Linked DNA regions of Macaca fascicularis. The protein of the gene in region 1 binds, or shares a complex with, the protein of each later gene. Links are inferred from orthologs where the notes say so. Each region holds a gene or a part of one and is shown in the gene's direction. Other genes may lie near its edges. The genes, in order: GATB and GATC.

Evidence for each region.
Region 2: GATB (region 1) and GATC share a complex: the UniProt entries of both Homo sapiens proteins name them as parts of the heterotrimeric GatCAB amidotransferase (AdT) complex. The link is inferred for Macaca fascicularis from reciprocal best matches to the Homo sapiens genes GATB and GATC.

What each region holds. Positions count from the first base shown.
Region 1 is NC_088379.1:156,634,220-156,638,027, reverse strand, and holds part of GATB (glutamyl-tRNA(Gln) amidotransferase subunit B, mitochondrial), read left to right. Parts: intron 1-2,153; coding exon 2,154-2,352; intron 2,353-3,101; coding exon 3,102-3,224; intron 3,225-3,808. UniProt on the Homo sapiens protein: Allows the formation of correctly charged Gln-tRNA(Gln) through the transamidation of misacylated Glu-tRNA(Gln) in the mitochondria. The reaction takes place in the presence of glutamine and ATP through an activated gamma-phospho-Glu-tRNA(Gln).
Region 2 is NC_088385.1:127,473,188-127,477,593, forward strand, and holds the start of GATC (glutamyl-tRNA(Gln) amidotransferase subunit C, mitochondrial), read left to right. Parts: upstream 1-1,398; 5' UTR 1,399-1,420; coding exon 1,421-1,501; intron 1,502-1,596; coding exon 1,597-1,769; intron 1,770-4,406. Other genes in the region: TRIAP1 (TP53-regulated inhibitor of apoptosis 1), read right to left, coding at 1,166-1,312. UniProt on the Homo sapiens protein: Allows the formation of correctly charged Gln-tRNA(Gln) through the transamidation of misacylated Glu-tRNA(Gln) in the mitochondria. The reaction takes place in the presence of glutamine and ATP through an activated gamma-phospho-Glu-tRNA(Gln).

The sequences.
Region 1 (3,808 bases):
GGATGCAATTGTCCTGATTGCTGACTTCTTGCTTACCTCATGCTTCTGGTGGCTCGCTCATAATTGCACAGGGAGTAGAAGCCAGTGTTCGCAGGCTCAGCCTGCCCGTTGTATTTGGTGCTAATTGCCTGTTAGTACAAAAGCTAAGCCTCTGGCTGATGCAACAGTAAATGCATACTGTAGCTCTGTCGGCAGAGCGAGGGCGTCTCACTTTTAAGTTGAAGTTCCCAATAATAGGGCTGTCTCCTTTGGAGACATTTCTGTCATCTCACAAGGAGCAAGTAAGTGGACAATAGTAAGCAGAAACATGAACCAGAAACCTGGACCAAGAACAGTAATTGGCTGAGCAGTAAACTCCATACTGACCTGCTTTTTTCTGAAAATTAAAAAGTTTTTTTCTTTAAGCCACACCATGTGAGTGAGAGCCAATTTTTCATACCATCGAACTGGAACAAAACTGAAATGTTGAATGGGTTTCCCAAAATAATGTTTCATTTGGTCTGATTCAGAAAAACAACAGTGACGATATTGTTTTACCTCATTCTCTTTGAACTGAAGATTGGGGGGAGCTGTTTTTTAGTGGGTGAGGGCATGAGTAGAATTAAATAAAAAATACAAGTAAGACTGCATTCTCCAGGGGCTGCTGCTTTTCCCCTCTGGCCTCCAGCCTCTCAGCAAGTCTACTGTTTGGTAGGGCAGAAAGAATTAAACCACCTTTCTTTATCTTTTAAGAGTGACAGACAGTTTGGTTGAGGTGGGAGATTTAGTAATAATATGACTAAAATGAGATGTTTTGGTCATCTGTGGCTTTCTGGTCTTTCTGGCCCAGATCGTTCAAATAATCTAGAGTTTCATGGGACATACTCATATAATAAAGCATTTGTTGTTTATCTGAAATTCAGATTTAACTGGGTATCTTATATTTTATCCAACAACCTACCCAGAGCTTAGTTTTACAAATTGAGACTTCTCGCCTCAGCATAGAAAACGGGTTAGCCTTTTGCAGGATTCTCCAAGTGTGGTCCCCAGGGCACTAACGTCAGTATCTCTTGGGAACCGGTAAGAAATAGAAATCTTCAGGCCCCACCCTCGACCTACTGAGTTGGAAACCTTTGCGGTCGGGCCAAGCAGTCTGTCTTTTGACAAGCACAGTAGTATTTCTGATGCAGTTAAAGTTCTTAAACTGCTGGCTGGCCAAGTGGTGAAAGACACAGATTTTGGAGCCTGACCACCTGAATTCAGACGTTGACACTGATGCTCACTAGCTCTGTATGTGACTGTGGGCAAGGTCCTGATCCCTCCGTGCCTTGTTCTTCCTTCCAAAGGTGGTTGTGGAATTAACTGAGTGGAACACAGTGAGAGCAGCGCCTGGGACCTAGAAAATGCCACAGATGCCTTTGCTCTTATTCTCTGTTCTTCTCCAGTTCTCCTCATTGACCTGCTATCTCTTTAGTGCGTGTTGGTGCCTCTGTGCATTTGAAAGTAATTCTTCCTTTCCACTTAGAAGCAGGTGAGGGATCCTTGCAGGATCCATCAGTGCTTTAGTAGCATGTGCCTTCCGTTAACGGAGGGGGAATGGCACAGCGTTTTCTGGCTGGAGGAGCTAGGGAAGTTGGGTCAGGGAGGGCAGCTGCCATGATTGATTCCTTTAAAAAGCGGAAACAAAACAAGCTTAAACACACACTAGCAACTGCTGTTGGCCGTGTGGAGAGTAGATGGCAAAATGCTTAGCCAGCATTCCGAATAAGGAGGGTTTGCCAGGAGCCTGGTAATGAGATGCAGAGTTTAGGCTAATGAGCTGGATGGAAACAATAAATTCTTTTCTTAGGGGTCCCTGACAATGATATTATTGTTATTCCCCAGTACAGCACTTTAGTGAGGGTGATGGGCTGAATTCGTGTTGTTTATTATGTTGTTATCGGGAGTGGAGGATTTGGGGAGGGTGAAGGGGTAATGGCAGGGGCAGAAGAGACCAGGTTCAATGATGGCTGCAATGCAGCGACTAATTTTTTTCTCCTTTTCCTTTTTTTTCTTGTTACTGTTTTTGCTTTAAGAAGGCCTGTCTTTGTGTGACATTGTAAAAGGGATAGTAAACTGAATCCCAGCTTTTATGTGTGGGCCAGTGACTGTGTGTACCCTATGTTTGTGTGCAGGCAGGCTACCAAATTACCCAGCAGAGGCTCCCAATTGCTGTGAATGGGAGCTTGACATACGGCGTCTGTGCAGGGAAGAAGCAGAGTCAGGTGATCCCCAAGACGGTGAGGATCAAGCAGATCCAGCTGGAGCAAGACAGTGGCAAAAGCCTCCACGACGACCTGAGGTCGCAGACGCTCATTGATTTGAACAGGGCAGGTAGACTTGGAGTGTTTTCATTACTTCTCCTTCCTACTTCAGTTCTTGGATTGCAGACCCCTCTTCTCATCGTTAGAGTTTTCTTAAACAAATTGAGAAAGCAGTCACAGGAGCCTAACAGATGGAGACCAAAATATCAGCATTGGGATTGGCGTAGCTGACTAGCGAACATGGCTTGAACTGTAATTATTAGGCTTGCTAGTAACTCACCCTAAAGTTAGACAAACTTATCCACCTAGTCACAGAGCCAGCAGCTGGATATTTTAAGCAGTCATTAAAAGAAGTGAAACAGTTAAAAATTAAAAAGTGGGGCGTAGGAGCCTACACTTGTAATGCTAGCGACTCAGGAGGCTGAGGTGGGAGGATCACTTGACACAGAGTTTGAGATCAGGCTGGGCAACATAGCAAGACCTACTCGCCAAAAAATTAACAGCCAGGTGTGGTGCCATACACCTGTAGTCCCAGATCTTCAGGAGGCTGAGGTGGGAGGATCACTTGAGCCCAGAAGTTCAGGGCTACAGTGAGCTATGATCATGCCACTGCACTCCACCTGGGCGACAGAGCAAGGCTCTGTCTCAAAAAAAAAAAAAAAAAAAAAAAAAAATGCTGGAAGGGAAGAGAAATGATTGAGAGGCTAGAACCACTCAGAGTCCATCAGTAAGGCAGGATTTTCCTGAAACTGAAGCCTAATTTTTCTGTTGGTGAAATTGGAGAACTGCAGTGAGGCTGACTCTGCCCCTCTTTGGTAGGCGTGGGCCTTCTGGAGGTGGTCCTGGAGCCCGACTTGTCCTGTGGAGAAGAGGCGGCAACAGCTGTCAGGGAGCTGCAGCTGATCCTTCAAGCCCTGGGGACCAGCCAGGCAAACATGGCAGGTAGAAGCCGCAGAAGCAGCCTTCTTGTTTCCCTCTCCCTTCCTGCCTCCTAGAACCTCTCTGACTTTAGTTTTATTTTCTGTCAGTTATATTGAGGTTGTTTGCAGCCATTTTTTTTCCCTTTTGCAACCCTGTTTTTTAGAATTTTCCTTGGATTCTTTGATGAGCCCACAACCAAATATAAATGCATGACCAGCAACATTGCAGACACACCAAACCCTTAATGAACTAATGGTTTTGAACAGTTCAGTCTTTCTCAGGAAGAAGACACTGTGTTTATCAAGAACAGTTCTTAGTTAGTGAGTTCCGTATAGATAGCACTTTGTCATTAGTTGTCTCTTTTCCTTTGAGTCTGTTTCTTTTCTTTCATAGATTTTTCATCCATATACAGCGGAAGCCAAATTATGTTGACTGTAAGCCAAGATTATGCAAACTTTACCCTGAGATAAAATCTTAATTAAATTCAGTGGAAATACAGTAGGAAACTAAAACAAATAAAAGAAACACTTGCACCCTCGGGACCAGACTGCACATTTGAAGCATTTGCAAATTGCATATAAAGATCCTAGGTTTTGGTCACACTC
Region 2 (4,406 bases), on another chromosome or scaffold:
GACAGCACAAAAGTAAAATCAAGCTGATTATAAAGACTTATAACCATGATTCAAACCACATACTTTTTAAAAAACAAGTACCAGTAGGGTGTGGTGGCTCAGGTCTATAATCGCAGCATTTTGGGAGACCAAGGCAGGTGGATCACTTGAGGCCAGAAGTTAGAGACCAACCTGGCCAACATGGCGAAACCCTGTTTATACTAAAAATACAAAAATTAGCTGGGCATGGGGGTGCATGCCTGTAATTCCAGCTACTCCGGTGGCTGAGGCATGAGAATAGCTTGAACCTGGGAGGCGGAGGTTGCCAGTGAGCTGAGATTGTGCCATTGCACTCCAGCCTGGGAGACAGTGAGACTGCCTCAAAAATAAATAAAAACCAAAAGTACCATAATGAATAAATCAAGTGTAAGACCTGAGGGAGACTGGAAAAGGAGTTGTGAGGGAACCATTAAAATTAAGTGAAATTTGAAAAATAATCATCACTTTGTGTTGGTGAAAGACTTACTGGCTATGTGACCAACTAAATGGGATGAAGACAGCAACTACCTCGGGGAACTGCTGTGAGGATGTGTTGGGTTAACTTATTGGAAGTGCTTTGCCCAGTGCTGTTCTAACAATTCAAAGCAGTTCCACATCCATTGGGCCAGAATAAACATTTCCTAGCTGCAGTTGCGGGGACTGGTCAAGAGAGATAAACAGGCTAACGAAGGGTTTATAACATCAAAATAATGTGATCCTCCAGTCTGAAGTATAACCCCGCCCAGACCTCAGCTGTAATAGTGGAAAAGTGCACCACCTGCGAAAGAATCAAGGCAACCTGGTGCTAGTGAACTCGGATCAATCACTTCCTATTTCTGGGTGTTAGTTTTTTATGTACAAAATATGAGTAACTATACCCACCTTGCGAGTTTAGGATGAACACCAAATGAACCAAAAGATGTGACTGTGTGTCTTAAAAACAAAAGCACTGCACCAATATTTGTCATTCGGGGAGACACCCAAACGGCCTCGGTGGTGATGATAGGGGAGCGAGCTCCTGCCACTGACCTCACTGCGGCTTTTCTCCACCCTTCCAGTCCAGTCCCAACCCCCATAAAACACGACGAGTGTAGTGGGACACAGCGCGGAGAATGCGGGGCCTGGAAACAGAGGCGGAAGGGCTCACCTGAACACATTGCTGGTAGCGCTTGAAGAGGTCGGTGCACGGGTCCCCGGAGCTGTCCCCCTTGAGAAACTTCTCGGCGAACCAGCGATTGAAGCACTGGTCGTATTCGCGCTTCATGTCCGTGCATGCCTCCCCCACACTGTTCATGGCGACAGTGGTGTCGGCGGCGGCGGCAGCGCACTCTGATGTCATCACTCTTAGGCGCGTCGCTCGGCGTTACGCGCGGGCGCACTACGGGGGCCAAGGAAGGAAGAAATGTGGTCGCGGTTGGTGTGGCTGGGCCTTCGGGCCCCTCTGGGCGGGCGCCAGGGCTTCACGTCCAAGGCGGATCCTCAGGTAAAGGCCAGGGCCATCTAGGCGGGTGGCGGAGCAAGCCGGGAGGCACACCGGGGCGCCGGTGAACCACACTCCGTGCCTCATTCCTCCTCCAGGGCAGTGGCCGGATCACGGCCCAGGTGATCGAGCACCTGGAGCGTCTAGCGCTTGTGGACTTCGGCAGCTGCGAGGCAGTGGCGCGACTGGAGAAAGCTATCGCCTTCGCCGACCGGCTACGTGCGGTGGACACTGACGGGGTGGAGCCCATGGAGTCGGTCCTGGAGGACAGGTAAACTCGAGGCTGCAGCCCCGAAGCCTTGAGCGTGGCCCGTTCGCAGCCGTTTAATGTGACGATTAGCGAACAATTTTCCAGGGGGTTAAAGAGCGTTAGCGAGATTCAGGAACTTGCCCACGGTCACCTCGCGAGTCAGTGGCTTCACTCTTCCCCTTGTTCATTACGGATGCTCTCGCTCGTGTCGTCCTAGTGTAAGTAGAAACAAAACCCAAACTGCTCATCATCGCCTTTGTGTTTTTTTTCTTGAGACGGAGTCCAGACTGGAGTGCAGTGGCGCGATCTCGTCTCACTGCAAGCTCCGCCTCCCGTGTTCAAACAATTATCTTCCTCAGCCTCCCGAGTAGCTGGGATTACAGGCGCCTGACACCACGCCCGGCTAATTTTTTTTTTTGTATTTTTAGTAGAGACGGGGACGGGGACGGGGTGTCACCGTCTTGGCCAGGCTGGTCTTGAACTCCTGACCTCGTGATCCACCCGCCTCGGCCTCCCAAAGTGCTGGGATTATAGGCGTGAGCTACCGCGCCTGGCCTAATTATCGCCTTTGAGCCCCTACTCCATAGAGTCCCTGCCTGCTCACTCAGACATACTCTTCTCAGTACCCTCCTTGGCTACCTTGACTGCGTCTCCAGCAAGACAAGTTCTTTCCCTCTCTAGATCTTTGCACTGACCCTTCGTTTTTTCCTGCCTCTCAGTATTTGCATGGCTGCCTCCCTCTTGGCACAGGTCTCAGCTTATCTTCTGGGAAAGGGCTTTCCTAACCACTGCAAATCCCTTCTCCCCTTCTGGTTAGTAACACATCCTATTGGGTTTTTTCCTCTAACATTTTAATGGACTTTTGTTCATTTGTTATATCTCTTTTATTAAAATGTGAGCACTTTATGAGATTTGGTTCCGGTTGCATTCCTGCCTCGAATTTTTATTTTTATTTTTATTTTTATTTTTTTATTTTTTTGAGACGGAGTCTCGCTCTGTCACCCAGGCTGGAGTGCGGTGGCCGGATCTCTGCTCACTGCAAGCTCCGCCTCCCGGGTTTACGCCATTCTCCTGGCTCAGCCTCCCGAGTAGCTGGGACTACAGGCGCTCGCCACCTCGCCCAGCTAGTTTTTTGTACTTTTTAGTAGAGACAGGGTTTCACCGTGTTAGCCAGGATGGTCTCGATCTCCTGACCTCGTGATCCGCCCGTCTCGGCCTCCCAAAGTGCTGGGATTACAGGCTTGAGCCACCGCGCCCGGCCTTTTATTTTTATTTTTTGAGATGGAGTCTCACTCTTATCACCCAGGTTAGAGTGCAGTGGCATGATCTCAGCTCATTGCAACCTCCACCTCCCAGGCTCAAGAGATCCTCCTACTTCAGCGTCCAAGTATAGGACCACAGGCTCATGCCACCAGGCCTGGCTAATTTTTTTTTTTTTTTTTTTTTTTTTTGAGATGGAGTCTCGCTCTGTCGCCCAGGCTGGAGTGCAGTGGCCGGATCTCAGCTCACTGCAAGCTCCGCCTCCCGGGTTCACGCCATTCTCCTGCCTCAGCCTCCCCAGTAGCTGGGACTACAGGCACCCGCCACCTCGCCCGGCTAGTTTTTTTTTTGTACTTTTTAGTAGAGACGGGGTTTCACCGTGTTTGCCAGGATGGTCTCGATTTCCTGACCTCATGATCCACCCATCTCAGCCTCCCAAAGTGCTGGGATTACAGGCTTGAGCCACCGGGCCCGGCCGCTAATTTTTTATATTTTTTATAGAGACAGGATTTTGCCATGTTCTCCAGGCTTGACTCTTGAGCAAAGGTGATCCACCCACCTCAGCCTCCTAAAGTACTGGGATTACAGGCATGAGCCACAGCGCCTGGCCCAGTGTTTGATTCTTTCAAATCTCTTCTCTACTTTGCAATTTTCTTTTTCCTTTTGGATGGGGTCTCACTATATTGCCCAGGCTGGTCACAAACTTCTAGACTCAAGAGATCCTCCTGCCTCAGCCTCCCAAATAGCTGGGACTGTAGGTGTGCACCACCACACCTGGCTAATTCTTAAATTTTTGTAGAAACAGGGTCTTGCTATGTTGCCCCGTCTGGTGTCAAACTCCTGGTCTCAAGCAATTCTCCTGCCTCAGCCTCCCACTTCCTAAAGAAAGTCTAACTTTTTTTTCTTTTTTTTTTTGAGATGGAGTCCTGCCCTCTGCCCCATTGCCCATGCTGGAGTACAGTGGCACGATCTCGGCTTACTGCAACCTTCACCCTCCAGGTTCAAGTGATTTCTGTGCCTCAGCCTCCGGAGTAGCTGGGATTATAGGCATCCGCCACCACACTCAGCTAATTTTTGTATTTTTAGTAGAGGTGGGGTTTCACCATGTTGATCAGGCTGTTCTCGAACCCCTGGCCTCAAGTGATCTGCCCATCTTAGCCTCCCAAAATGCTGGGATTACAGGCGTGAGCCACTGTGCTGGCCAAAAAAGTCCATTCCTTTTTTTTTTTTTGAGACAGTTTCACTCTTCCACCCAGGCTGGAATACAGTGGTGCAATCTCAGCTCACTGCAACCTCTGCCTTCCGGTTTCAAGCAATTCTCTTGCCTCAACCTCCAGAGTAGCTGGGACTACAGGCGCCCGCCACCATGCCCAGCTAATTTTTGTATTTTTAGTAGAG